4 linked regions of the Lonchura striata genome follow. The protein of the gene in region 2 purifies or fractionates together with the protein of the main gene of each other region. This does not show direct contact. Links are inferred from orthologs where the notes say so. Each region holds a gene or a part of one and is shown on either strand. Other genes may lie near its edges.

What was found.
Region 1: the proteins of AXIN1 (region 2) and AMER1 purify together in Homo sapiens (affinity purification with mass spectrometry; 4 studies listed by BioGRID and IntAct, with this or other methods). This does not show direct contact. The link is inferred for Lonchura striata from reciprocal best matches to the Homo sapiens genes AXIN1 and AMER1.
Region 3: the proteins of AXIN1 (region 2) and DVL1 purify together in Homo sapiens (affinity purification with western blotting; 3 studies listed by BioGRID). This does not show direct contact. The link is inferred for Lonchura striata from reciprocal best matches to the Homo sapiens genes AXIN1 and DVL1.
Region 4: the proteins of AXIN1 (region 2) and PPP2R5A purify together in Homo sapiens (affinity purification with western blotting; 3 studies listed by BioGRID and IntAct, with this or other methods). This does not show direct contact. The link is inferred for Lonchura striata from reciprocal best matches to the Homo sapiens genes AXIN1 and PPP2R5A.

Annotation. Positions count from the first base shown.
Region 1 is NC_134616.1:16,024,109-16,031,175, forward strand, and holds the start of AMER1 (APC membrane recruitment protein 1), read left to right. Parts: upstream 1-4,053; 5' UTR 4,054-4,123; intron 4,124-6,215; 5' UTR 6,216-6,299; coding exon 6,300-7,067. Other genes in the region: ASB12 (ankyrin repeat and SOCS box protein 12), read left to right, coding at 183-993, 1,637-1,770. UniProt on the Homo sapiens protein: Regulator of the canonical Wnt signaling pathway.
Region 2 is NC_134618.1:4,334,367-4,341,974, forward strand, and holds the start of AXIN1 (axin-1), read right to left. Parts: upstream 3,004-7,608; 5' UTR 2,937-3,003; intron 954-2,936; 5' UTR 860-953; coding exon 1-859. UniProt on the Homo sapiens protein: Component of the beta-catenin destruction complex required for regulating CTNNB1 levels through phosphorylation and ubiquitination, and modulating Wnt-signaling.
Region 3 is NC_134626.1:2,221,683-2,228,806, forward strand, and holds the start of DVL1 (segment polarity protein dishevelled homolog DVL-1), read right to left. Parts: upstream 3,016-7,124; 5' UTR 2,918-3,015; coding exon 2,748-2,917; intron 1-2,747. UniProt on the Homo sapiens protein: Participates in Wnt signaling by binding to the cytoplasmic C-terminus of frizzled family members and transducing the Wnt signal to down-stream effectors. Plays a role both in canonical and non-canonical Wnt signaling.
Region 4 is NC_134605.1:11,994,693-12,002,348, reverse strand, and holds the start of PPP2R5A (serine/threonine-protein phosphatase 2A 56 kDa regulatory subunit alpha isoform), read left to right. Parts: upstream 1-4,645; 5' UTR 4,646-4,931; intron 4,932-5,166; 5' UTR 5,167-5,242; coding exon 5,243-5,393; intron 5,394-5,478; exon of another isoform or gene 5,479-5,499; intron 5,500-7,656. UniProt on the Homo sapiens protein: The B regulatory subunit might modulate substrate selectivity and catalytic activity, and might also direct the localization of the catalytic enzyme to a particular subcellular compartment.

The sequences.
Region 1 (7,067 bases), on a different chromosome or scaffold from region 2:
TGAGCACATCAGCAGCATCCTCATCAAACATTGTCGAATTTTTAGAGAATCTTCCTGATGTTGAGTATAAACTTGCACTAAAATGCAGCTGTCGGTGTCAGGGACTGGTTCTAACCCAGGGGTGGTGCTGGTTCTGCCATCCTGTAGATCTTTGGCCTCACCCTTTACCATGAGAGCGGCACATGGAGCCCAGACCCGACAAAACGACCCTGATGGACATCAACAAGATGTTCTCCCTGCTGCAGCCCAGGGATGACGAGGAGGACAGCGGCGACAGCGAGGAGCTGAGCCGGGCGGTGTGCCAGGACGACCACGAAACGTTGGCCAGGCTCCTGTCCCAGGACAGGTACAAGAGGCTCATCAACCGCAGGAGCGGCTGGGGTGTGCCCAGCACCCCCCTGCGCCTGGCGGCCACGCGGGGCTGCGTGCGGAGCCTGCGGCTGCTGCTGGCCCACGGCGCCCAGGTGGACAGCCTGGACGTGAAGGCGCAGACCCCGCTCTTCGTGGCCGTCAGCAACGGGCACGGCGAGTGCGTGCGGCTGCTGCTGGAGGCCGGCGCCAGCCCCGCGGGCAGCGCCTACAACAACTGCTCGCCGCTGCTGCTGGCAGCCAGGGACGGCCACGCGGCCATCCTGCGGCTGCTGCTGGAGCACGGCGCCGAGGCCAACGTCCGGGCCAGGCTGCCCGAGTGGGCGGCCAACTCGGCGGCCTGCTCGGGGCCGCTGTACCTGGCGGCGGCCTACGGGCACCTGGAGTGCTTCCGCCTGCTGCTGCTGCACGGCGCCGACCCCGACTACAACTGCACCGAGCAGAGCGTCCTGGCGCAGATCCGCGAGCCCAAGACCTTGCTGGAGACGTGCCTGAGGCACGGCTGCCACAGCGACTTCGTCCGCCTGCTCATCGACTTCGGGGCCAACGTGTACCTGCCCGGCGTGCCCGCCGGCGGGGCGGCCCCGCGCAGCGAGGGGCTGGAGCTGCTGCTGCAGGCCAGAGGTGACCTGGCCACGTGCCCGGGGCTGGACGGGCACGGCTTTGCTCTGATTCCCTCTTCCCAACAGCCACACGCGGGTTTTCCTTCAGCCTCGGCTGTGCGGGTCTGTGGCTGCCCCTGGATCCCTGATGTGTCCAAGGCCAGGTTGGACAGGGCTTGGAGCAACCTGGGGTAGTGGAATTCCTGCCCACGGAATGAGATGAGCTTAAATTCCCTTCCCAACCAAAGCCCTTCTGTGATTCCGTGGTTCCCACAGCCTGGGTTTCCCCTCACTTGGGTTACCCCCTGCTTTTCACCCTTGCTCTTCTTTTTGCTGCTCAGCTTGGGCTCTCCTGTACTGCCCAAGTCTAAAATCCTGCACTTATTTCCATGTGGGGATGGGAGATTTCTTCTCCATGCCCAGCCCTCGTGGGAGCTTGTGCCTGAGTCCATAGCCCCAGCCCCAGCACAGAGGTTGAGTTTTCACAGGATCATGGAATTTTCATAGGATCATGGAATGGTTTGGGTTGGAAGGAACCTAAAGATCATTTTGTTCCAATGCTGTCTGGTTTGCTCAATCCATGTCCCTTTCCTTCAGATAATGCTGGGTTGGAGGGCGGCAGGGTTGCGTGTCTTGAAGGTGACCATGTGATTTTCCTTCCACAGCTCATCCCAAATCCCTGCTGTCCCAGTCCCGGCTGGCCATGAGGCGTCTCCTGAAGCAGCCCAGCTGCTCGGCCACCCTTGGAGAGCTGGAGATCCCCAGAGCCCTGGCCAAATACCTGCAGCACCAGCTGTGATCGCAGCCTGCCCCAATTAAAACCTGCTCCACCTCCCGGAGTGAATCCCTGAAATCTGCAGAACCGCTGGGAATTTGTGGTCACAATTTCATTTTTGCTGCTGAGGTGTCTCCAGAAAGCAATGCCCATGTGGAAAAGTGGGAAGGGAACAGAAGGGAAGGTGGAGGAAGAACAGGAGACCTGAGCTCCTGATTTGCAGCAGAGGATAGAGCACAGAGCAGGATCTGATCCCCCTCGGTTTGCCTCAGACCGTCTTTACTGAGGGATTTTACACCTTTAGCTGATTTTGGTTGGAGAAGGGGCTGGGAAGGAGCGTGGAGGAATTCTTGGCTGTGAGAATGAGAATTCTTCCCTGTGGGGGTGGGCAGGCCCTGGCACAGGTGCCCAGAGCAGCTGTGGCTGCCCCTGGATCCCTGGCAGTGCCCAAGGCCAGGCTGGACACTGGGGCTGGAGCAGCCTGGGACAGTGGGAGGTGTCCCTGCCATGACAGGGGTGACACTGGATGGGCTTTGAGGTCCCTCATGATTCCACAATTCCCAGAGAAGTTCCCAAGTGTCTCCTCCACGTGGGAGGGGCAGGATTGGGGCTGGCCCTGGCCGTGTGTGCCCACCCCAGTGGGGGCAGAGCCCAGCACTCCCAGCTGGCAGCACAGGAGGGGCTGGGAGATGCATCCAGAGCCCAGCAGCCCCACTCCTCTCCCTGCCCCAGCTCTGACCCTAAACATCATCTCCTCACCCCAAAAGTGCTTCCTGTTGTGGCCGAGGGTGCTCTGTGACTGGGCAGGGCTGGGGTTTGGATTAAAAGAGTTCTGTTCTTGGTATGAAACTGTTGTGGCCTGTCTGGTGAAATATCCCATGTCGGGCAGCCCTGCCAGGATGGCTGGGAGGGGAAGAGGGAATGGCTGTGCATGGGGAATTCCAGGCTGGAGCGGGGCATCCCAGCACCACCTTTGTGTCCCTCCATCCCTCCCGTTCTGGACACCGGGATTGCCCTCACCAGTGGGGCTGGAGGTGCCTTCCCAGCTCTTCCCACAGCCAGGAACTGATGGATCAATGCTGCTGCTCCTTGGCAGCTCAGCGTCCACCCAGCAGTGGTGTTCTGGAGCACTTTGGAAGGGTGTCCCACGGTTCATTCCTTCCTGCCCTGATCCATCCCAAAGGGAAATGTTCCATGGCTCAGAGCCGAACACAGGCACCTTCCTGCAGGATTTACGGGCTTGTGTCAGGGGTTGTGGGATCTCTTCGTCAGCATCTATTAATTAATGAGGCTGTGGGGCCTCTCCCAAGGGCAGCATTAGGGCTTGGAAGCAGCCTGGACAAAGCTCCACAGGGCATGATGACATTGCTGCTGCTGGTCCCCATGCAGGTGCCTTCAGGAGCACATCAGGAGATGGCAGCTGGGAAAGGCTGTCCCGCGGGGACATTGCCACGCCCTGCTGTGGTTCCCACTCGTGGCATCCTTGTTGTCATCCTCACGTGGAGATTGGAGGGGCTTTTGGGATCTGGGGGTCCCAAAAATGGGGAGGGGTCTTCCCTACCGGGCTGCTCAGTTGGCTGTGGGGCTGTGGGTGTGAGCAGCCGCGCAGCGGTGGGTGGGTGGCAGCGGCGTGGCGCGGGTGACACGCCCGCGGGTGACACAGCAGGCGCAGGGAGGTGTCCCACGGCAAACACGCCGTGTCACCGGTCACACACTGTCACAGCCCTGGCCCCGCGGTGTCACAGACAGGCCAGGCCAGGCCAGGCCAGGCCAGGCCGGGCCATCCCCCCGTGTCCGTGACCCCGCGTGGCCCGCGGCTGCCGCGCCAAGGCCACGCCCCCGCCGGGGTGACCGCGCCCCCTGTCAATCAACCGCCAACGGGGCCACGCCCCCAGGGCGGGGCGCGCCCTGAGGCCACGCCCACTGCCCCGGGCCACCGGGGAGGACACCGGGGGCGGCCCCGGGGGGACACCGGGGCCGGCCATGAGGGGACACCGGGGCCGGCCATGAGGGGACACCGGGGTCCGGCCCCGGGGGGACACCGGGGGCGGCCATGAGGGGACACGGCGGGGAGCGCGCCCAGCGCTCAGCGCGACCCCGCCCGCTCCGCTGGGCCCAGTGTGGAGACCGCGCCCTCCCTCACGCAGAGGCCCCGCCCCTCCGCCGCCGCGCCCTGTCAATCACCGCGCCCCGCCCGCCAGGCCCCGCCCCGGCCGTCACGCGGCGCCGCCCCTGCCGCCCGCGCCGGGCGGACCCGCGGCCCCGCGCCCCTCGCGCGGCCGGGGCCGGGCCGGGGCTGGACCGGGAGCGGGGCCGGGAGCGGGGCCGGGAGCGGAGCCGGGAGCGGAGCCGGGCCGGGGCTGCCGCGGTGCCGCCGGTGAGTGCTGGCCACGGGCCGGGTCTGGGGCCGGGGCCGCCGCCGGTAAGTGCTGGGCACGGGCACGGGCCGGGGCCGCCGCTCCCCGCGCCGCCCGCCGCCTGGCCCGACCCCCTCCCCGCCCCTCGCGTTTTCCCGGATCCTCCCGAAAGTTGGGGAGCGGGGAGGGCCGGCCCGGGGGAGCGGCCCCGTGCGGGGCGGGGGTCCCTGAGGGGCTCCTCTGCGGGTGGAACGCTGCGTTTCATTGTTACCGTGCTGCTTTTTCTTGCTTTTAAACCTTATCTTTCATGGTCTGTTGGTCGTGGCTCTTTGCCCTCGGTGTACTTGATTTCCGCTTTCTTTCATTTTTATCTATTCTATTTTTTATCCTACTCCAGCCTCCCCTCCGCAGCAGTGCCGCGGTGCTGACGTGGAGCTGGAGAGGAATGATTCCCAAAAGGAATTTCTGTAATGCTGGCTCTGTCTCGTGCCCTTCCCCGGCTGTTTTCCAGCAGCCCCAGTTTAGGTGCAGGTTTGGGGTCATTTCACCCCCATTCTCCATCAGCCCCATTCCAGGTGCAGTTTTGGGGTCATTTCATTCCTTTTCCATCAGCCCCAGTTTAGGTGCAGGTTTGGGGTCATTTCATTCCTGTTCTCCATCAGCCCCATTCCAGGTGTAGGTTTGGGGTCATTTCATTCCTTTTCCATCAGCCCCATTCCAGGTGCAGGTTTGGGGTCATTTCATTCCTTTTCTAGCAGCCCCATTCCAGGTGCAGGTTTGGGGTCATTTCACCCCCATTTTCCAGCAGCCCGATTCCAGGTGCAGGTTTGGGGTAATTTCATTCCTTTTCCATCAGCCCCATTCCAGGTGTAGGTTTGGGGTCATTTCATTCCTTTTCCAGCAGCCCCATTCCAGGTGCAGGTTTGGGGTCATTTCACCCCCATTTTCCAGCAGCCCCACACGTGTCCAGTGCAGGCCTTTCTCCCAGCCCCTCTCTGCAGAGGCTTTGGAGGCTCCTAGGACTTGTGGTGGGCTCTGGCAGAGCTGGAAAAGCCCAGTTTGCCACTGGGGAGGTGGCTGTGCCAGCCAGCTACGCCCCAGCTGCTGCTTCACCAGTGGGACAGGTGAACGTGAGGAGTTATCAGCAATCCCAGGATTCCAGAACCATGGAATGGAATGGGTTGGGAGGGACCTGGAAGCCCATCCAGTCCCAGCTGTTCTGAGCGCAGCGATGCCAGATCAGTATAGAGGCAAAGCAACCCAGACCTGAGGAATAAAAATAAACCTGGAATTGCAGGTTTGCTGGGGGGCTGCAGGAGCAGAGAGCATCGTTTGGATGTATTTTTAATTTGGGATCTTTGGCTAAACACTTTGGGAAGGTTTCCTTGGCCTCCTGTCAGTCAGAGCTCAGCCTGGGGCATTACAGCTTGGGAGCACATTAGGATTTTATTGCATTTAATTTCTCCACCCTCACCTCTGGAAGAGAATCGTGATTATAATTGTTTTATTTCTGCTGTTCATGACAGCAGTCCAGGGTCAAATTTCAAACCTACCTCTCTGCTTCTGGGATAATCTGATCAGGGTATTCACAGTTGGTGTTTTTAAGGCGATTCTCTCTGGCTGGACAGATTATTTTAAAAACAACTGAAATCTTCTATTTAAAAAAGCCAGGGTAGTAAGTAAAGTGGTTTTTCCCCAGACTCGTGCGTAGGGGGGCTGTGTCCTGGTTTGGCCTCCCTCAGGATGCTCTTTGGAGCCTGGCATGAGGCCTGGGAGAGCTGGGAGGTGGTTTGGGAGGTGCTAGCTCTCACTTTAAGGTAGCCAAACCTGATCACCCTGGAGGTGAAAAATCTGGGAAGCTTTAGGGCATGGAGCGAGGAGGTGCAGGGGTCAGACCTGCTCGTCCCTAGGGATTCTAGCCGAGGGAGATGTGTGGTTTTCCTGCTCTGGCTAACTGCTACATTTAAGCGACATTCTGGTGCCTGAATTTTGGAATTGGAGGGAGATTTTGGAGGCTCCTCCAGCCGGTGAGGGAGCCCCGAGACTCCGGTGCCTTCAGCCGTGCCCCTTCCGCTGCCGTGTCCTCACCTGTGCCCTCTCCCTGTGCCTCAGGTCGGCGGTGATGTGTCCATCCCTGCGCCCGGAGCACCGCGCTGCCAAAGCCGCCTCCAGCTAGATCCAAGCCCGCCCGCTGCCATGGAAACGGGCAGCCCGGAGGAGCGGGACGGAGGGGAGCAGCGGCGGCAGGAGGGCGGCGACGCCCCTCCCGACAGCGCCGACGGCTCCGTGGTGGCAGCGGAGCCGCAGCAGCCGCCCCCCGGCAAGCTGCGGAAAACGGCCTTCAAGCTGTTCGGGGGCAAGCGCAGCATCTGCACCCTGCCCAGCTTCTTCGGCGGCCGCGGCAAGAAGGGGCTCAGCAAGTGCAAGACCCACGACGGGCTGAGCAGCGCTGCCTGTGACAAGGGCGGTGGGACAGGGCCGGACAGCCCCTCGGAGGGCAGCAGGGATGGGCAGCCCGGCCCCCTGCCCGGCTCCCGCAGCGCCCAGCTGGCCGTGGACACCGGCAGCAGGGGGGATTTGGGCCAGCAGGACGGCTCTCCCCCCGGGAGTATCGAGGGCTGTGACAAAAAGCCCTCTTTCCCCAGACCCAAAAAAGGGCTGAAAGGGTTTTTTAACAGCATCCGGCGCCACCGGAAGAGCAAGGCTGCCGAGAGTGAGAAGACAGAGCTCCCCGAGTGGAACGGGGACACGGAGGAGGCTGGGAATGCTCCTGGAACGGCAGTGGAGAGCCGAGGGGCTGTGGAGGGCAGGGGAGCAGGGCCAGTCACTGAGACCAGAGCTGGCCCAGGGGACTCGGGGGGTGACTCCAGCTGTGGTGAGGCCACGGAGCCCACGGGCCCCACAGCTGATGGAGGCACCTCCGAGGGTGGCACGATGGCCGTGCCAGGGAATGGGGACGTTCCA
Region 2 (7,608 bases):
TGTAGCGCCGGGCTGAGGCCGCGCGCTGCGTGGCCGTCTCCAGGAGCAGCTTCTGCGTGAGCCTGCTGGAAGGCGCCGAGTCCCTGCTGGCCTCGGGCTCGGCCTCTTGGTCACACTTCCACTCCTCATCCTCGTTCAGAGTTGGCAGATAACCAGGTAGCCCTTTACCTGTCCCAGACCCTGAGCTCGGATCGCTGTAAATTTTTGGGCTTTCCCCACCTGTCCTTGTGTATTCCAAATAAATATCCGACTTAAGGAACAAAGGGTAGGTATTGTCTTCTATCATGCACTGAATCTCTGTTTGGGCCTGGTCAAACATGTCAGGGTCAATCTGCAGTTTCATGACACAGTCTTTGATGAAGCTTTTTGTGGCCGGTTTGATCTGCCGGGACACAATGCCATTGTTGTCGAGGATGTATTTTTTGTAAATGGCTTTTGCCAGCTTGAGTCTTTTTTCTTCATTAGACACGCATGGCTCCAGCTTCCTGAAGCCACTGCAGGCAAACCAAAAGTCCAACAGATCCGCACAGTCCTCCTGTTTCAGGAAAGTCCTGAAGAGATTGATGCCATCTTGGTCATCCAGCAAGGAGTGCAGTGATTCAGCCCACTTCAGGTAGGGTGGAGTTGGCGAAGCACTCCCCTCGGGCTCGTACCCCAAATCCAAATCGGAGCGCCTCGGTGTTGCCGTGGACGTCTCATTTCTGACCACATCACTTTTACCAGAGTAGAAACCATGGCTAACTGGCCTTGGGTCTGTGGACACGAGCTCCCCCTCCTCACCAGGAACCGGTGGCCTTGGAGCATCTTCAGTGAAGCTTCCTCCGAGGTCCAAGGGGAAGCCTTTCCCCTGGATATTCATTTTTCTGGTCCTTGCTTGCGTGGGAACAGTGGGAGATGAGCGCTAACCTCAAGTCACCAATATCTGTAGCTCCAAGGTAAACAGGTTTGTTTGGCTGAAACAAATAAGGAAAAAATAAGCGAGTATCACTGGAAATAAACGCTCTAAGACAACAAACTAGAGGTTATGCTCTGCACCTTTAATGTACTAACACCTCTTTTTCAACAGGATCAATGGCTTGGTAACTTCTGAGAGCACAGAACTGAGCTCAAATCAGACAGAGGCTAACAAGCACATTTACAGAACATCCCAAAATTTTATATCCAGAATTCAGCATCACTGATACAACTGATGCTATGCTAAAACACCAGCAGATTTCCCAACAACGGTGGTTTATACATGACCCTGGTATGTGGCAGCCCACATCCAAAAGATCCATACTCAGGTACTACAGGACACATGCCACCTTCTGCACTGCCACCAGCTCTTCTGCACTGCCTACCTGGACAGGACGTATACCAGATCACACTAAGGCAACATGTTTTTATCTGGCTATGGATCTAGGAAATTCTTACCCTTAAACAGGAATTTAAGGCTTGTGAAAATTATTATTAAAAAACATCCAGTTAGTCCTGAAAGCAGGGCTGCACCTTAATCAAACACAGGTGGCTTTCGTAGCTCAAGTGACATACCAGCGCCACATTCCTCACAAATCTCTGCGTTTCAGAAATAAGCCGCGTCGCCTCGTCTAGCTCTAGGGGAATCCAGATGCATCGTTGACCCTAATATTTTGGGCATCTGGACTGCATTCTTGCTTCAGATGGGCATGTTAGTACAGGAGCTCAGTTCTAGCACTGCTTTTTGTAGGCAAGCCGTTGAGAAAAGGTTCATTTACGCTAAGAGAATTGCATGCTACGAGCCTGGGAAAATTTCAGGTCACCAAAGGAAGATGAGAAAACCACCTTGACAAGGAAACCTGATCAAGTACGGTGTTTTTAAAGAAGAGCAATGAGTCAATATGGAGGATGGAAGGCATGGGGAAGGCAGGGAAGGAAGAAAAGGGCAATCCCTGGGTTGCTACTTCTGCTGCTCAACAAATTAACCTCATCGTTTAAAGCAAGTAGCAAAAGCCCTGTGTTAACAGAACAGCCTCAGCCTCTAAGCCCCAAGTACTGCAGAGCACCAGCAGCCTCATAAATTACTCCTTGCACTGGGTTAACTCAATTGCACGTAAAAACACAGCAAGAAAGACACATTTTAGCTCGCCCTCCCTCTCAAAACAAACCCCACAACAACGAACATCTTTGGGACGCTTTACCATTGACCCCCCATTTCCTGATCCTGGCTAAACCAAGAACCGCCGCCGATGCCGTGCCTGTCCTTACAGCCCACCTGTGCATCGTGAAACAACCCAGCGAGCCCAGGAGCGGCCAGCGAGGGTGGCGGGGCCCCGCGAGGAGCGCGGCAGGAGCCAGCGCCGCGCTCACGCCCGGCCCGAGCCCCCGGCACGCAGCCCCTGTCCCGGCACCGCGGGACGAGGCTGGGCTTTGGCACCACGGGGCGGTTCTGGGTGGTTTTCACCCCGCTCCTGGAAAGCGAGAGCGGGACTCGCCCCCCGTGTGCGGTGCAGGTCCTCGGTGACCCCCGGCCGGGTGAAGGGGACGCCCGGGGCAGCGGCACCGCAGCCCCAAAGCCACGCCGGGCATTGTTGCGGCGGGGCGGCGCTGGCTCCTCGCCCCGGCCGGGGCAGCCCCAGGAAGCTCCCGGAGGACACGCGAGGCGCCCGGCCGAGCCGCCCGGCCGGCTCCGGAGGGGACCCGCGGCGGGCGCGGGGCCGGGTGGGCTCCGGGGCGGCCCCGCCGCTGACAGGGCACCGCGCGGGGCCCCCGCCGCCCCCCGGGCAACTTCGCGGGACCCGGCCCGCGCCGCCCCCCCGCCGCCGCCCCCGGCCCCGCTCCCCTCCCGGCCCGCCCGGCCTCCCCCCGCGCCCGGGGCGGCCTAGCCCGGCTCGGCGGCCCCGGCGCGGCCCCGCGCTCCCGCCCGCGGCGGCCTCGGCGCGGCCTCGGCGCAGGGCCTGGGCCGGGGCCGCCTCACTCACCCGCGCGGAGCGGCGGCGGCGGCCCGGGGCGGCGCGGGGCCCGGCCCATGCGGCTCAGCGGCGGCGGCGGCCCGGAGGGGCAGCGGCGGCACAAAGCGGGCGGCCCGGGACGCCCATGGCCGCGGCCGCAGGCGGCTGGCGGCGGCGGGGAGCGAGAGCAGCAGCAGCAGCAGCAGCAGCGAGCCGAGCCCCGCTCCGCTCCGCTCCGCCTGCGCCGCTGCCTCCCAGCCCGGCACGGCGGCTCAGCCGCGCCCCCCGCGCCCCCGCCCGGTACTGCGGGACCGGGACGGAGCGGGGCGGAGCGGGCCCGGCCCGGCCCGGCCCGGGGAGGCGGCGCGGCCGCACGCGGGCCCGGCGCGGCCGCAGGCCCCGCACCCGCTGCGGGGCCGGCCCGGGAAGCGCGGGGGTGCCGGCTGGGGGAGGCACCGAGCCCCGGGAGCCGCAGCACGCTGCCGAGCGCACGGGCTGAGCTCCCCGGACAGCTCCGGCACATGGCCGAGGCTTCGGGCTCGGCTTCCCGCAGAGCCCCGGCTGGGCAGGCGCCTCAGGGGCTGAGAGGCTCCAGGGCTTCGTCCGGCCCTGGATGAGGGCAGCCCGTGAGCATCCCGGGCAGAGACGGCCCAGAGAAACTTGGGAGACCTCCGGGGTCTCGTGGAAGGGCTCTGCCCAGGGAAGGCATCAACCCTCAAACACCACCAGGCTCCACGGTGCTGTCCGCGTTGAACACCATGACACACCCGAGTTTTGTCACTTTTGGACCACGCACCGTGGGCCTGGGGATGTAGGGGCACCGGTGCACCAGCTGCTCTTGCCTCCAACAACAACTAGAGCTGCTTTGGAACCTGCAGTGTGTGTCCTGCTTCTCTGAGCTGGGCAACTGCCGCTGGGGGAAAGCAGGGGCTGGCCAAGAGGTGGCACTGCATGGACTGGAAGGGTCACACCGCCTGGAGACTCCCAAGGCGATGCTGGGTTCTGTGCAGCAGGGTGCACCAGCTCTGAGGCTGCAGTGATGGGGACACTGAAGGGAGAAGAAGTGAATTGCCAGATGCAGAGATCAAATGAGAGTAGCGTGACAGGGAAGTGCAAAAGCGTGTCTTCCCTGGAAAGCAGTGATAGACTCCGAGCCAGGCTGAACATACAAACAAGACACTAGACAGTCCTCTGAAAATCAGAAATAACAAAATAGTTTCCAATAGGGACTGTTTCTCCTTTCTTATGTGATGATGCTGCCACAGTTGACTGCCTCAGTGCATTTAGAGAAAACTTTTGGAAATGTAACATTTCTTTTTCCAGTTTTATGAAGTTCCCAAATATCCACTCTGGCAGTGACACTCCCCATCCCACCCCAGCACAGAGTCTGGCAGGATGATGTGGCTCCTTGCAGTCTCTCATGTGAACGATGCTCGGAGCTGATTTACACGTAGCAGTGCAATGCTGATCTCAGGCGTAATAATAGCAAAGCTGATGTGGGATTCAGCTGGTAAAGAATTAAAGGATGGGAATATAATTAATGCAATCAGCCTAGTTTCCAGAAAATAGCTCTTGTCAAACTCTGATGTCATCCTTTGAAGAGATTACAAGTTTGGCTGATAAAGGTTATGGCATAGAAATAAAAGACCTGGGCTCTGTTGAGGCATGTGACTTAATCCATATACTATTCTGATTAAAAATTAGCACAATACAACATCAAGAGGGACACCTTAAAGGGGCTGGGAGCTGGCAAACCGACAGCCATCAATGGGGAATCCCTGCAGAATGGGAGCGCGCTCAGTGGGTGTCCAGGCTTGGATGGGAAGCCCAGTGCTATTCAATGTTTCCATCAATGGTCTAGAAATAGATTAAAAAGCCCTGCTGAGAAAAACGCTGGGGTGAGGGAAATGAGAGGGGCAGGAGACATGGACGAGGTCAAGACAGCTGTAGAAAACTTCACAAGCCGAGTGCCTGGCAAATAAAACGTGCTTGAATGCGAGCAGCTGTGAAAGGGTCTGTCCACTGAACACAGGGCCCTTCTGCTGGAAACCCGGGATCTGGCAAAACCACATCGGGGGGAGTTTAGTGTTTACCACAGTTTAGGAGGCAGGAGGGATAATGTGGGAGCAGCAGGCTCCCCGTGGGGGACGTCCAGCTGGGATGGGGCTGAGTGCTACAGCAGGAGGGTTCCAGCATCTGTGTTTTGGAAAGGATGCTGAGAAATCGGGAGGTGGAGGAGAGTTAAAAATGAGTCCTGCTTTGCAGGGGGGGGGTAGCTGAGGCCTGCAGCCTCCCCAGCAAGTTCAAAGGAGCCCCAGAGGCATCTCCATTATAGCACTTCAGCCACTTCATGGGTGAGAGACGATCAGGTGTTAGAGAGCTTTTCATCTCCCAGAGGAAGGCCCAGCAGGATTCATGGCTTGAACTGAGTTCATTTGAGAAACTAGAGCAAGATTTCTCCGTGGCAGGGGAGAGCCTGAGGTGGTGGGCAACGACTCTGGGTGCAGCAGGATGCAGGTGGTTGAAGTGCTGGGGCTTGACATGTCCTCCCTCATGCTGCCATCCTTCCCTGACCTTCTTTACTGCTCCTTGGGTTGGGCTGAACCTGGGGATGTGGGAGAAGTGCTGAAGGCTCATCTTGCTCCCACCAGCTCCTGGCACATTCCCCCAGCTCAGGGGTCACAGCCCAGAGTGAAGACCAGCCCCCATCCCACCCCCAAGGCACAGAGAGAGGCAGGGGACCTGCAGACAAGCACGTCCCTTCCAGCAGTGCAGGATCACTGTGCATGCTCCCAGGGAAAGCAGAGCCAGCACTGCTCTGCTCCAGCAAAGGCAGCCAGGCAGCTGCCCCTTCCTAGGCCACAAGAAGCAAATTCCACAGATCAATGCCAAGCCCTCACGGTGCCTCATTATTTTCTGGTCTTCTAGCAGGGATGCTTGGGGCTGAGAGAGCCATGGGCTCCCTCTGGAGCCCTTTCCCTGCATTTTACCCCTCAGGTGGCTCATGACAAGGAGGCGTACGTCGGCACTCTACCAGGGGCCAAAATCACTTCCAGATTTATCTGATAACATCAAACAGGTGATAAACCACACTGAGCATTCCTGGCTGTGTGCTGGAGGAATCAGACTGCAGATCTCAGATTTGAAGCCAGTGAACCAAACCTGGTTATTTTTCCCTCTTCATCAGCTGACCACGAAGCTCTGCCTTTCACCCCAAATATCACCCTTACACCAAAGCTGACACCACCGAAAGGTAGTGGTGTTTTGTGTACCCCTGGTGTCACCCTGGCACTGAAGCTGTCCCCATGTGAACCTGGGGTGCTGGACACTTCCCAGCTCCCAATGCACACATTCCTTTCTGCCTGGAAGAAACAAACAGCAAACACTGGAGAAAAGGAGCTGCTCTCAGCCTTTGCTCGGAAGAGTCTGTGCAACATGCAGGCAGCGCTGGTGCAGTGCAATTCCAGAGCCTCCTTGCAAAGGGATGTGTTCTGTAGCAACCTCCCTCCTGCCAAGGCAGGGACTCGCAAGCTCTCCAACATCCCATCTGCAGAGCCTGAAACCGCCTGGATCGGCTTCGGCACTGACTGGAGTCCCCCCAAATGAATTGTGGCTCTCCTAGAGCAAGGTGTGCCCGAGCCGGTGCCGGGGGGATGCCCGGGGGCTGCCAGCGCGCAGCGCTCCCCTCCAGGCAGGGATGTGCGGGGGTGAGCCGGCGTCCCTCTGGCGCTGCCGGATTCGGGAGGCAGTGCACTAGATGGTGCTGTTCAACCTTTGGCTGCCGTTTAAAAGGCTCCTGCAAGGTCATCAGCGATGCCGAAATTCGGTGGTTTTATTCAAAAACCTTTTTGGAACTAAGGGATAAATAGAAATACTCTGAAATATGAGGTCCTACATTGATCACTGACAGAGGCAAAGGGCATGTGCTGCCTCCCACCTCGGGCCTGCAGCACCCTCAGGGTAGTCAAACCTCATCCGGGGTTTGACTATGTGACCAATGATGGCTGAAGAAAAGAATGATTTAAAGAAAAAAAATTATGCCAAGAAAATGATGTCCTGAGTAGCAAGAGGTGACTGACAGCTCTCTCTTGGACCACTGGCAAGATGATGCTTACAGAATAGGAGGAAGAAAATGTATTAGCATTCTAGATAGAAGTATTGGTGTTGTGGCACCAGGAAGTTGGAGTATCCCAAAAAGCCCAGCTGGGATGAGGCACCAACAGCCCAGTAGCACTGCCACTGAGGGGACAAGCAAGCAGAGCCACAGGATATGGCTGGCAGGAGAACAAAGCAGAGAAGTGGCCATGGATGGGGCTGGGGGCTGGATGAGAGCACCTCCCTCACTGGGAGGGATGGATGGAGCAGATCTCAGAGGGGGCAGTGAGGATGCCCACAAACAGCTGTGCCAGGGCTGGGGGCAAGGGTGGAAGTGAGTGCTGATTTCTACCACCACAGCATCCCTTTTTGCAGGGCCTAAAGATATCTGCCCACCCTGGCCATGCCAGCCTGGAAAAGCATCCATGGAGCTTTGGGTGCAGGTCCCACAGGGATCCTGGGTGTGCCTGCTTCTATGGATTCCCCAAGGAGAGAAACACATTGCTTCTAATGCTGGGTAAAAAGGACAAAGCACTGTTTGAATACCAGGTTTATGCCTTTTCACTCAGATCCTCCTCTTTCATAAAGCCCATGGTGGAGCCTGTTC
Region 3 (7,124 bases), on a different chromosome or scaffold from region 2:
ATCCCTCCCAGCTCAGAATACTTCATGACTCTACACAAAGTCAGTTTGCAGATGAGATGATGAAAATAAAGCCCACATTTGCTATTAACACTCAAATTCAGCTGAATTCACTTCTAATTTCCCCAAATATTTCAGGTTCAGAGAGGCACAAACACAAAAGGAACAAGACATAGAAAATAATAAATGCAAACAAAGCTCAGGAGTCGCAGGTCAGAGTCACTCTGAGCTGTCTCAAGGCCATGGATTTGTCACCCAAATGCTGTTGATTCAATAACAGAGACAGAATTTCCAGGTCTTGATCCCTGCAGCCCTTCATCTTCCATCATCACCTCCATTTCCAAGAATAACAGAAGTTTCACCCAGATTTTCAGGCTAGTAAGAAAATCTACTCTAGGGTTTGTTACAAACTCTGCTTCCTGGTCAAAGACCAAAACATCCCTGTGTGTTCAAGATGCCTCAGCACAGTTTATATTTCCTAATCCTAAATTTCTGTGGCACTGGGAATGATGCAGATGCTGCCTGAACAATCCCAGCCTCCTTCAGTGAAATCAAACCACAAACACAACTTGAATTTCTACGACAGCAACATGTCCCTGTCACCCGGGGAGGTGAAGGAGGAAAATTTACCATTTTTTAATTTACCATTTAGCAATAATTCCATTTATTTTGAAAACAAACATCTTGTGCTGTTGTTTCCCCCCCTCCAAAAAAAAAAAATGTTTGCACAAGTGAGAAAAACAAGAAGTCAATCCACGAACACTCCTGTGGTTAGAAGCCAACACTAACAACTCGCCACATCAGAAATCCGTGTCAACAAACAACATCCACATTCCACCAGGGATAAAAACCCAATCAGCATGAAAGGTTTGAGTCTCAGGGATAAGAAAGAGGCTGCACAACACATCCACGGATGCTTGGGGTGATCCATCTCACCAAACATAAAACCTGCACCTCAACACGGTGCTGTTTTGGAGTCAGGTCTGCACGAGTTTCCCACAAACCTGTTCCATTTTTATTTTATTTTTTTTTTATTCCTGGCAAGGCATTTAACTGTGCAAAATTGCCTTGCCAGCGACAGATGTGAGTACAAAGAGAAGCGATTTGCTACGAAAGGATTAATACATTTTGAAAGTTACTGTCTGGCAAACTGTCAGAGGGACTTTTATTGGTTTATTTAATTCTGGCTGTCGTTAAGCCCGGTGGCACGCAAGCAGGGAGCGGAACGATGGCAAACGCCCCCGGCTCTGGTCACCCAGCTGCCTCTGGCCACCACAGAGGTCATTTCAAAGTCCAGCCCTGCTCTCCTGCAGCACCCCCAGCTCAGCATGTGCCCTCGGAAGCGGGCATTTGGCCACTGACCATCTGTCACCCCTTTGGCCACTGACCGTCCCAGCTGCTGGCCCAGCACAGCCCACGGAGCTGTTTGACCACCAAGTGCTTGTCACCTGCTCAAACAGGGACTGTGTGACACCGTTTGACCACTGACCACCTGAGACATGTCTGACCACCGACCACTTCACAGCCGTTTGACCAGGGACGGTGACACCCAGGGGATGTGACAGTCGCTATCTGAGTGCAGCCCCTGCACCTGCCTGACCACTGACCACTCGTCTGACCACCAACATCTGACACTCATTTGATCACTGACCATCCCACACCCGTTTGACCTGGGATTGTCTGACCTCGAGGATTTGACAGCTGCAGTCTGAGCACAGCCCCTGGCACCGTTTGACCCCGGCCACTTGTCACCCATTTGACCACTGACCATTTCACACCCGCTTGGCCACTGGCCATTCCATTTAACCATTGACCATTCCACAACCTTTTGAGCACTGAGCCCTTGTCCCCCATTTGACATTCATTTGACCACCAAGCACTGGTCCCCGTTTGACCATTTATTTGACCACCAAGCACTTACCACCCATTTGACCACTCGTCCCCCATTTAACCACTGACCATTTCACACCTGTTTGACCACTGACCACTCATCCCCCATTTAACCACTATTTCACGTTCGTTTGACCACTGGTCCCCCATTTAACCACTGACCATTTCACACCCGTTTGACCACTGACCACTCATCCCCCATTTAACCACTGACCATTTCACGCCCGTTTGACCACTGACCACTATTCCCCCATTTAACCACTGACCATTTCACACCCGTTTGACCACTGACCACTATTCCCCCATTTAACCACTGACCATTTCACGCCCGTTTGACCACTGACCACTATTCCCCCATTTAACCACTGACCATTTCACGCCCGTTTGACCACTGACCACTATTCCCCCATTTAACCACTGACCATTTCTCACCGGTTCAGCCAGGACCGCCTGTCACCCGTCCCGCCCCCAGCTTTGCCAGCCGCGCTGCCCGCGGACAGTCGCCGCTCGCCCCGGGCCGGCGCCCCGCGGCCGCCGGGCCCGCCCGCCCTGCCGTGCCCGGGCGCTGCCGCGGCCTCCCCGGGCGCGGTGACAGCTGCGCCCGCCCGGCCGGGCCCGGGCCGGGGGCACGGCGGCAGCCGCGGGCGGGCCCGGCCGGGGGCACGGCGGGTCCCGGGCCGCGGTCGCGGCAGCCCCGAGCCCGCGGCGGGGCCGGCCGGGCCGCCCGCCATGTTCGCGGCGCTGCCGGAGCCCGGCGGGGCCGGCCCGGCCGAGCCCGGCAGGTGCCCCGGGGATGCTGCGAGCGCCGCCCGGGCCGCGGAGCGCAGCCCGCAGCGAGGGCCGGGGGCGCGGCCGCTCACCCGAAATCCTGGTCCATGGACTTGAAGAAGAACTTGTAGCTGTGCACGGGCCGGTTGCTGAGGACATTTTTGAAATCGGCCAGCGTGACTTTCTCCGGCGGCACGGGCAGCTTCACCAGGTACGGCGTCTCCTCCTCGTCGATGTGGTAGATGATCTTGGTCTCCGCCATGGGCGAGCGGCGCGGGGGCGGCCGGGCCGGGCCCGGGCCGGCGCTCGGCGCGGCGGTCGGCCTTGCCCACAGGAAGGCGGCTGGCGGCGGGGCTGGCGCTCCCTGCACTGCTCTCTAGCTGCCCGACCCGGGAACGGCAGCGCGCCCGCCCCGCCCGCATCCTCCGGCCGCGCCGCCGGCCCCGCTGCGCCGCCGCCGCCGCCGCCGCAGCGCTGCCCCGGCCGGGCGGGCGGGCCCGGCCTGAGCGGCAGCGGGGCGGCCCCGGGCAGCGCCCTCCGCCCGCGCCCGCCGCGGCCCCGCACGCCGCCCGCACACCGCCCCTGCCGGCCCGGCGGCGGCACGGCCCGGCCCGCGGCGGCGGAGGGCGCGGAAGGGATGGGGTGGGGTGGGGTGGGAAGGGGGGTAAGGAAAAGGATGGGGTGGGGATAGGGAAAAGCGATGGGAATGGGGAAAGGGGAGAGGATGGGATGGGAAAGAGGATGGGGAAAGGGGAGACGATGGGAATGGGGAAAGAGGAGAGGATGGGATGGGAAAGAGGATGGGGAAAGGGGAGACCGATGGGATGGGAATGGTGATGAGGAGAGGGGAGAGGATGGGATGGGAAAGAGGATGGGGATAGGGAAATGGAAGGGATGGGGAAAGGGGAGAGGATGGGATGGGGATGAGGAGAGGGGTGAGGGTGGGATGGGAAAGGGGATAAGGAAAAGGATGGCGTGGGGATAGGGAAAAGGGATGGGAATGGGGAAAGGGAAGAGGATGGGATGAGAAAGAGAAAGAGGATGGGGATAGGGAAATGGATGGGGTGGGAAAGGGGAGAGGATAGGATGGGAAAAGGAAGGGTTAAGGAAAAGGATGGGATGGGGATAGGGAAAAGGGATTGGGAATGGTGATGAGGAGAGGAGGGGATGAGAAAGAGGATGAGGATAGGGAAAGGGGATGGGAATGGGGAAAGGGAGAGGATGGGATGGGGATAGGGAAGACTATGGGACAGGAAAGGGGAAAAGGATGGGGATGAGGAAAGGAGAGAAGGGGGGTCCATGGTGCTGGTTTGAATCACCAGGAATCACCAATTTAGGGCACCTGAAAGAGTCTTTTTCAAGAGTTATTTATATTTAAATACATTTCTTTCCAAGATAGCCAAGCGTTTCTCACTCTCAGTTTTGCAATTAGGAGAATAACAGAGATTTCTATAAAAATATGAGTTTAGCTTTCTGTCCTACCAGGCTCTGCAAGCACCCTGGAGTGCTCCTGGCATGGGAAGTGCACCACAAATGCATGAGTGGGAAATTTCCCTTTGGTGGGATCATAACTCTGCCATGAGCAATATTTCCTGAGCTCCTGAGCTTTATGGAGTTCTTGCAGCATGAAACTCGGGCAAAACATTAACATTTGGTCCCCTCAGTTGGTACTTAAGGACCTCCTGGGCTCCTCAGGTGCCCTCCCAGAGCCTGAACCTGCTGAGAGCTGTTCTTGCTCCCTGAGCTTCTCTTTCACTTCTGACAGCTGGAAATAATAATTGTCAGCTGATTACCCCACAGCAGAGCCATCAGACTGGCTCTGGGACTCACAAAAAGCTCCCCAGAAAGCACAGAAGAGAGGAGATAACTTCATGCTGCAGTCAAAGCAGCAGCTAATCCAATTAAGGAGAGGACACAGGGAAGCAGGATACACCCCTGGCCCAGCAGGGCTAAAACCTCGTGTCCAGCACAGCTCAGGCCTTAACACTTCAGCAAAAAATAAATAAGAGGCACCAAATCTCCTGCTAACAGTGCTGTGCTCTCTGTGATAGAGGGAATAGTCCTGCAGGGAGCGGAGGGATAAAAGCTGCTCACCCTTTTCTTCATTTTCACAGCAGTTACCACACAGGGAATAAGCAATCCCTTTAAAAAAGCTATTTTTTAAAAGCCTTCCAGAATTACAGCAATGCCTGTTGCTTGTCTCAGAGCTCTTCCCATTCTGGGTGCTCAGCAGAGCTTCTGACCTAAACTACTGCCCCAAGATGTTCTTGGTTTAGGCACTTCTAAATTTTTACTGGAGAATCTCTAAAACAATTCTTGAACACATTACCTTAATATTCCATGGGGAAATAACTGAACCCTCTGGTCTTGGGCAAAAATTTGGCCAATATTTCACAAAATAAGGGTGTGAAAAGATGGGACAAAAGGGAAAACAAAGCTCTGAGCACCTGCCTAGAGGTGTCCCGGGTGGTTTTCACATCAAGGATTTCTCTGTAAAGTAACAAAATTTCACTTTGAGGATTGTTGGCAAGATTGGGATAGATGCAGAAGATGAACTAAAGATGGAAATTATCCCAGAACAGAATGAGAAGCAGAGAAAATTTCAACTTCTCCTGGATCTGGTCTGCAAGATCTGCAAGGTTTTATCCTTTTTTATTCTCCCTGTGTGTGCAGTGGACCTTGGGCAGTCACTGACAGGGAAATGGAGACATTAAACACTAGAGGGAAGCAAAAGACTTTGCAGTAACCTCTGCAAAGCTCCCCGGGGCTTAAATGTAATCAACATTTATTTGTGTTTTAGGTCCCCTGGACCTTTTATATCTAAACCTTTTAGATAGAAAAGATTGATGTTTAAATATACAAAAAGTTTAAGGTATACAAGTAAGAGTTTAGATTGCAGAACTGTAGGTTTGCCTTCATAACATGATTGGCTAAGAAAGCTCACACTGTAAGTCCATAAGATGAAATATTTAAGGATTGGGTCAAAAACATAAATATCCTTGTTGGCAATGTTTTATCCTTAAAATGTCTTATAACTAAGGGTCTTGTGACCCTCTGAGCCATTCAGTGAGGATGTGAGCTGAACTCACCCTTCCTGCCTGTGTAGAAGAAAAATAAATCTTGGGATCAAAACCAACTCAAAGATCTCTAATTCCTTCCAAAATCCCCCCCAGAAGTGAATTATCCCAATATCCTGCCTTGATCCTTGCAATCCTTGTCCCTGCAGGGTGCAGGAGCTTTTTCCATCAGTGTCCCTGGGAGAACTCTGCTCTGCCAGCTGGGGAAGTGCTCAGGGGCTGGAAGTGCTGCAGGAGCAGAATGTGCAGCAGGAACTTTGCAAGGTGTTAGTCCTGCAAGGAAAAGAGGAATTTGGGCTGGCAGGGAGATGTAAATTCCAGCAGGAAATGTTATCTTCCCTTCTGGACCTACCAAATGAAATCCTCTGGAAGGGCTGCCAGCCTTCCTCTCTGCTGGATGCTTTGAGCTCCATCTCCAGCTGCAGATTTGTTCCTTATACAACATTTCTGGAGAGCTGAAATTCCTCTGGGGGCCCCATGACCCTGTCAAATAATGATGTCTCAGGTGGAAATTTTATCGGAATCTCTGGAATAATTTACTGGATCCAATCTGCACTTTGTCAGGCACTTTGGGATGCTCTGAGATGAAACAATCCTGCACAGTTATTGGGAAGAATTATCTAATGCTGGCTGAGAGAACACCTCCAAAAGGGCAAGAAATAAAATCAGCCTGAGCTGGAAAGTCCATTTTATTCTCCTTTATTTCTTAAATGTTTGGAGAGTTCTACCAATGGTAAAAAATAAGCAACAATAATAATGAGAATTAATTTTGTTACAACAAAGGAAAGAACAAGATTTATGGAGGAAGTTCTTAGTCTGGAGAGTGTTCACAGAGCTGAAAAGAGGGTTTTAGTTGTAGTCTCAATTTTAACCCCTTTTAAGGTCACTGCCAAGCACCATTTCCTTATCCCACACCAAGAGCTCACAGTCCATTTATTACCCTAAATAACTTTGATTTCTCTGCCCTCATCGAGGCAAAGTTCTCACTGAGGGTAACTGCTGTACAAATACTGGGGAAGATGATTATTATTATTAATATTATTATTTTAACTAATTAAATATAAAATCTATGTCTCAGGAAACCAGGGAGACTGTGATGGGGAAAGAAGGTAAAGAAGTTTATCAAAGTGCAGCAATTCATTGGCACAGAGAGAAAATTACATTGAATAACCCAGGCCAAGTGCTATACACACATCAAACAAGTGTTCCTCCACAAGAGGCAAGTCCCAGATTGGGGAGAGAAAAGGACAGGGAAAACCAAATTGTTTGGGAAGAAGGAGCAGTGCTCCTGCCCAGCCCAGGGGGGAATTCCATGTGGAACCCTCTCATTTCCACAGATTTCCCAGCAGTGCCACAGACTGAGAATGCAGGATTCTCACCAGGATTTCAGGC
Region 4 (7,656 bases), on a different chromosome or scaffold from region 2:
TGTGCTTTGTTAGTGGGAAAGAAAATGTTGTAGGAGAGGGAGAAGTGTTCTAAAGGTTTTATTCTGATTATTATTATTCTTTCTTTTAGTTAATAAAGTTTTCTTTACCCTTTTAAAGTTTTGATCCTGCTTTACCTTCCTCCTAAACCTATCTCACAGCAGGAAAGGAGTAAATCTAGGGGGTACATTGGCATTTGACCAACAGTAAACCCACCACAGACTGTAATGATGTAGTCACAGGTACACTGAAAGGAGTCAAACTCAGGACCCTTACAAACAAAATCTTGCCATCTAACCTCTGAATTCCAATCCCTGAATTTCAAATTCTGCCCTGGGATTAAGGTGACAAATGGCCCTGAGATTACTAATGCTGTATTATTCAAGGATTTGTCAAGCAGAAGACTTGGGAACACTTATGCTTGATATCTACTACACAAGATAGACTACAGAACATATGTATGTAAGCATATAGTTTATCCTGAACTAGGTGGATATCTCACTTGGTTCTACTGGGGCATTAGTCCAAGGAAGTATTTTAATCTAGGACTAAGCCCCTCACATTTGCAGACAGGCTGAGTGAGTTGGAGTTCTTCAGCCTGGAAAAGAGAAGATTCCAGGGAGACATTAGGGTACTTCCTATATCTAAAGGGGGTCTAAAAGAGAGCTGGAGAGGGACTTACTAAAAGGGCATGTAGTGACAGGACAAGGGATAATGGCTTTACTCTGAAAAAGGGTAGATTTAGATCACATATGGGGAAGAAGTTCATCACTGTGAAGAGGGTGAGGCACTGGAACAGGTTACGTGTTGCCCTGATTTATAAAAGTGTTAAGTTTTCTTTTATAGTTCTTTTGAAAGTTTTAAAGTTTTTTTAAAAGTTTTCTATGCCTTCTGATGTTTACATATTTCTACTGGAGTTCTCATACACTGTTCATGTTGATAAAGATTGTTTTGCATTCTTCTTTGTGGGAGGAAAGAATTGATGGACTGGTTGGTTTGACCAGTGTGGTTGGAGAGGTGGCAATTTCATCCTCCAATCCACTGTCGCTTTTGGAATTTCATATATTGCGAGGTCAGAAATAAAATTTGTGCTTTTTTTCCTTTGAACTTACCAAGCTTCTGTGTGCTCGTTTTGTGTCCAATAGCGACAGTTACCCAGAAAAACTGTGGATGCCTTATCCCTGGAAGAGCTCAAGGCCAGGCTGGATGGGGCTTTGGGCAACCTGGTCTAGTGGAAGGTGCCCTTGTCTATAGCAAGGGGTTTGGAACAAGATGATCTTTGAAGTCCCTTCCAACCCAGGACATTCTGTGATTCTGTGAAATACCCTGAAAAACTGCTGGGTTTGTGCAGTAGTAAATATAAGCACAGTTGCAGTCAACAGGGTTTTTCATATTCATTTTGAGAGGGAAATCAAATTTTCTCAACAAACTTTCTTGGCTGAGAGTTCACCCACTTAGGGCATCCTCTTTACTAAAATATTCCTCCCACTGTCTCTGGGAAGAGATAGATTTCTGGCAGCTTGGCCTCCAAGCATCCGTATGGATGAATGGGAAAGCAGAGCTGTAGTTAACTCCTCATCTGCTGGCAGCCAGGCAACTCCCTGCAGCAAAAATCTGGTAGCAACCTGGTACTTGAAGCACCAGATTTGCAAGACAACTTGGCCAGGATTCTGCAAGCTAATGATGCGTCATGTTCTTGTTCACCTTTCCAAAGGTTTCTCTTCTGGGTAAAAAGATGATATGAAAATGCAGGAAATAATCATCTGTGGCTAAATGAAAAGAACCATAAATGCGACTTTCAGTAAAATCTGCTCCAGAATGTTGCTCCTCCGTTCTGAATAATGATAATGAGCCTTCTTCAAAGCTAGAGATATGCGAGAGGTTTTGCAGAATCAAGGCCTCAGTGCATACTGAGGAGCCTGATTTAGGAGTGGGAATAGCTTGGCATAAAATTACTATTCACAACATTCTCTGTGGACACCGCAGACTTCAATGAATTGCATCTGGAGCCAGCAGCTTGTAACCTGGCATCATCCCTGTGTGCCTTTAAATATACTCTGAAAACCAGGGGCTTCAGAAGCTGACTCAGAGCAGCTCTGACAGCTGTGTAGGAAGCAGAAAGCAGGGAAGGGCAAACTCCAGCCCTCTCAAACACAATTATTTCAGACTGCCACTCACAGCTCTTGTTTCATTTTTTGTCTCCAAATACCCCAGTCCAGCAGGCCTGTATGTTCCAATGATTTCACACATTGATGTAATTCCACTGACTTCAAGTGCAACTTAAAGCAAACATTACCATTTCAGTTTAGGAAACTGTAGCTGGTCACCAGAGATGCTGCTCATTCTTTTCTGAAACAGAAGAGTTATATTAAAAAGACAAAAGAAAACTCAATGGCTAGAAGTACTTCTTATTTATTTGAGAGAATAAACGTTTTGTTTTGTGTAGCTGACTCAGATCTCACCAATATTTCTTTTACAAATGATACATGAAGATGCAGTCTGAAAATATCTTTCAGTGCAATCAATATGAAAATCCCATCATTGCAAGGAAGGCTTGGTGTCATGAATTTCAACTGCCAACAGATTTTTTAAAGCACATTTTCAAACAGCACTTCTAAGCCTAAGCAACCTTGGGGAAAACACTTTAAACCGCAGAAAACCAACATTTTTACATTTTACAACTAGAACATGTATCAAGCTTCCTTAACAAATCCTGAAATGCTGATGAACCTCTAAGGTAGACTCTTTTACCCTGGGAATTGGAAGCAAGGCTTGAGTTGCCAATAAACAGTACACAGGACACGCTGGGCAGTGTCAGTTTCTAAAAATGGGTGCAGAAGCAAATGACAGCTGTTGGAGGGCAGGCAGGAACAGAGGAACACACCGATACAGGGGCTTGGCCCCAGTGATCTCTCAATAAGAGCTGTGGGCCTTGAAGTGAAGTGAGAATTAATCATGTAATTAATGCAAGGATTTCCTTTACTGCAATCAATATTGGAGCTGGTAGTTTAAAGGACAAGTACCTAGAGACTGCTATGTTGTCTGTAAAACAGATTTTATAATATAAGGAAATGAAATGAAAAGTCTACAACACCTACAAGATTGATAAAAGTATATTACATTAGTACTCTATAATTTCTAGATATGTTCTATCCAGAATTTAATCTAAAGTGTATAGAAAAGGCTTGTCTCAGCTCAGCTCATAGGGGTTATAGAATATTTTAAACCAGAAAAGACCCACAAGGATCACTGAGTCCAACTCAAGTGAATGGCTCATACTCCCTCTCTCTACTAAAGATTATTTCACCAAAAGCAAAGAAGATGAGCAGTGCACAAGTTAGAGACTGTGTTGACATAGGAAAGGAAAATGAAGAGACAGAAGCAAACAGGGAGATCTGTTTCTACTGAATAGGCTATCACACTCTTAGTCTTTTACATTCATATAAAGCTATAATCATTTGCCTTTTGATTTATGGTTTATATACACAGAGATTAAAGTCCAACTCATGTAATGAAGGCATTTTACAAACATTTACGGTGATCTTATTGTATTTATGCCCTACCACAGCTACCGAAACTTGAGTGTGTGCTTAAAATACTACAAATGCTTATTTGCTATATCGGTATCCAAACCTATGTAGCAAAAAGAAATGCGCTGACGTGCTCAAAACTTAGCGGTACGTGAATGGCCACAAGACACGGCATCCCGCGTGTCCAGCTCCGCACGGGGGCGGGGGAGCCGGGTACGGGAACGGGCCAGCGCAGGTCAGATCCTGATGCAGCCCGCGGCGCACACGCAGCCGTGGCTGTCACCGGCCCGGCTGCAGCCCGAGCCCCGCAGGCGGATCGCGCCCAGCAGCGGGACGGGCTCCCGGCTGCGCATCCAGCCCGGGAAGCTCGGGCAGCGCCGCCTCCAGCCGCTGCCGCGCTGCCAGCCAGGGAAAACACCGCGGCCGCGCCGACCGTCACACACCCGAGCCCAGCGGAGACCAAAGGAGACCTTAAAGCGCTGAGGCGTCGGGAGGGTGGGCGAAGGAACCAAAAATTCGGGAGCAGTGGGGACACGGCACGGAGATACGCTTGGGAGCGCAGCGCGCGCTGCCGCGGCTCCCGGCGCTCCCGGCGCTCCCGGCTCCCGGTCAAACACCCTCTCGGCGGTGTCCCCGTGAGCGGCACCGCCGGGCGCGGGACGCTCGCTGCGCCGCTCCCCCGCCCGCCGCGGGATTGGCCGGAGCGCGCCCCGCCCGCCATCCCGCCCCTTCCCCTTCCCCTTCCCCTTCCCTTTCCCCTTCCCTTTCCCTTTCCCTTTCCCTTCCCCCCGCCGGGAAGCCCCGCCCACCCCGCCTCCCCCGCTCCCGGCTGGAGGAGCCGGCTGTCAATCATCCGGTCCCCGGCGCGCGGCCCAACTCCCGCGTTCTCCCCAGGCCTCCGCGGGCGGAGCGGGGGGCGTTCCGCATTCCTCTCCTTCCATTGGTCGCTCCGGGCCGTCAATCACCCGTCGCCGCCAACCGCTGCCTCTGCCCCCGCCCTCGCCCCGCCCCTCCCTCCTCCCTCCGCTCAACTCCGCTCGCTCCGCCAAGTTGTGCGGCCGCTGCCCGGCGGCTCCGGGGTTGTGGCGGCGCCACGCGCGGCGGCCCCCGGCGGAGCGCGACGAGGCGGGATGACGGCGGAGGCGCGGGGAGCGCCCGGCGGCGGCTGAAGGCGGACAAGGGGCGTGTGGAAGCGAGCGGCTGAAGCCCGGGGGCGAGTTCGGCTGATGACAGCGGGCTCGACTGAAGGGGACGCAGAGCGAGCGAAGCGGGAGCGGGGCAGCGGCGCCGCCGAGCCCGTCCCGCAGCGGGTCGCGCCGCGCCTGCCCTGAGGACAGCGGGACCCCGGGAGGGAAAGTTTGGCGCTCGCCCGCCCCCGCCCCGCCGGGCAAAGTTGTCTTTGGGTTTGTTTGTTTGTTTTCCCTTTCCTCCTCCTCCTCCCCCCTTCCGCTCCCCCGCCGGCTCCGCGCGGGGAGGAAACGGCGAGGGAAGCAGGAACTGAGGAGCGACCCGGGAGCCTCCCCAGCGCCCGGCAGAGCCCGCTCCGCTCCTCTCCTCGTCGGTGCGGTGTGTGAGGGCAGCCAGGACTTCGTTTTTGGTGGTGTTTTTCGTTGTTGGTTTTTTTTTTTTTTTTTTAAGTCCCTTTGTTTTTTGCCCGCCCGCTTCTCCCTCCGGTACAATATATGCTCGTGGAGAGCCGCCCCGCCGCCCAGCCATGTCGGCGGCCATCTCTGCCGCGGAGAAGGTGGATGGCTTCACTCGGAAATCGGTGCGCAAGGCGCAGAGGCAGAAGCGCTCGCAGGGCTCCTCGCAGTTCCGCAGCCAGGGCAGCCCGGTGGAGCTCTCGCCGCTGCCCCAGCTCAAAGGTACGAGCCTGCCCTCCCCTCCGGCTGCAGGTGCCGCTGCCCACACCGCCTGCCCCGCGCCCTCTGCCCTTTAGCCGTGTCCTCCCCTGCCCCCGCTGCTTTCCAGGTAGGGACCCGCGGCAGGAATTGCTCCTCTGCTCGCACCACCCAGCGCCGCTGTCCCGGGCGCCGACTCCGCTAACTCGCCACCCCCCTATTCTGGCTGTTCGCGTGCGTTTTAAGGTCTTACTGAGGAAAATGTAGACGGTAAGTTGAGCTGGGGAGTGCAAGCAATTGAGCGCTAAAACCTGGGAGCGAGCGGTGGCTCCTCCCACGGGGGTTTTGCGGAGAGGAGCTGTGCCCGAGGCGTGACATCCCGAGTTAGCGGAGAGCTCGCCTTGGGCTGCCCCGGCTTTCGCACCGCTCTCGGACGGTGCTGGGACGGCGTTTTGCTGCTCTCCAGGAGTTGCCTCGGAGACTTCCTCCAGCACAGTCTGTGTGGCGACACTCTCACGCGAATGAAAACTCTGGATGAAGCGGAAAATAGACAGTGATGGTTTTATCCGCTGTGCTGGTTCTAAAATTTGAGAAGGCTCAGTTCATTAGGTCATAAAAATGAAGCGAAGTTCATTGCAAACTTCTACATCTTTGACCATCCGAATACGTTTCTGTATATTTTTAAAATTACGAAAGGATATGTTGAGAGAGTATAAAGCTTGTTATTAAAGCATTTATCAGGGACTTGAAAAATAAGGTAGAGCGACTACTTTAACGTGACTTAGCATGTTAATTTTACTTCCACTGGCTTTAAGGTCTTAAGGCTTTTGAAGCTGCATCATGTGATGGTGGAAAAAAAAAAATCTGATTTGCAGTGAATATCCAAAATCTGAATGAGATATAGTAAACATAAAAATATTCATAGGTACTAAGTTTGGATTTTTTTTTCAGTTTGATTTTTATGGCACTTACAGTCATGTCTAATATTTCAGGGCTGTCACGTTTTTTCTGCTCTTTGAGTGACAGATGTACATGAATCATAAATCTGGCTCTTAGCAGAAATGTTATTGACTAGAAATAAGCTTAGGCAAGGGAGTAACAAGGGCAGGGTTGTTTGGTTTTAAAATGTTTGTTGCAGTCGGTTTGGGTGTTAGTTTTAACAGCAACAGCAGGATTGTTCTTGCTCCTTGTTATGGGCTTTCCTTCCTCTATGAAGTTGTGTCCTGTCTTGGTCCGCTACTTTGATTTGAGGGATATATAACCTGGATATTTTGTTTGAAACTAAGATTCAGTTTCTGCTGTTTCCATGCAGTTTAGACAATACATTTTCCTCAGAGCTGAATTTGAGAAACCACACTTGGGACTTTGTAAAGGCCCTTGGTAAATACTGCATATAGGTGGCAGACTTCAGAAAGTTTGAGTCCTGGTCCAGCAAACAGTTAAACATACGTGTGTTATGCAGGGAGCAATTCCAGCTTCAATCAGCAAAATGTCCAAGTTTACATTCTTTGCTGAGCTGGGACTTTAATATTAAATTTTTAACTCTGCATTATTAAGTCTTGTAGTTTTTTGAGTGTGGTTTTATAACTTTTTATTTGTAATACAGAAAAATTTTGCATGCCATCAGCAGCTCACATGTTTGGAAATTTGAAGCCATAAACCAGCAAAGGAATTTCTTCAGTTATGCAGGGTTTTATAGTAGTTTGAATCGCCTTATTGCCTTAAGTTCTTAAAGGAAAATCCCTTCAGTCTTTATGCTTATGATTCAGATGTGAAGTCTTGCCTTGGAGACCTGCTTCAGAACAGAAATTGTGGGCAAAATATACTTTTATGAGCTGTAGTGTCCCAAGTAGGCAGTTTGCAGAAAGTCAAACAGCACTCCTTTTGCTTGCATTTTTCCCTTAGGTTTGTGATGTTAGATTTGTCCCGTAGCTGTGGACATGGGATAGTTTCTTTTCATAATGCTCCCTCTCTCCTTTTTCCTTTTAAACCTTCCTTGCCTCTGAAGCCAGAAAAGGTTCTAAAAAGAGTTTGCTCTCTCTGCAAATGGATCGTTTTATAAAACTATTTGTTCTAATCGCTTGTGTCTTGGGAAGATAAATCTTTGCTTTATTTGTTAAAGTTAGTATGGAATTTAGCAATAGTCTTGATGCTGCTAGTGTAATATCATCTACAGACTCATGAGCCAGAATTTACAGGGATGGGCTGGAAAAGGAAAGTACAGTCATTATAATGATGCCTGCGGGTGCTCAGCATACACTTAGTAATTAGAATAAGTTTTTACTTT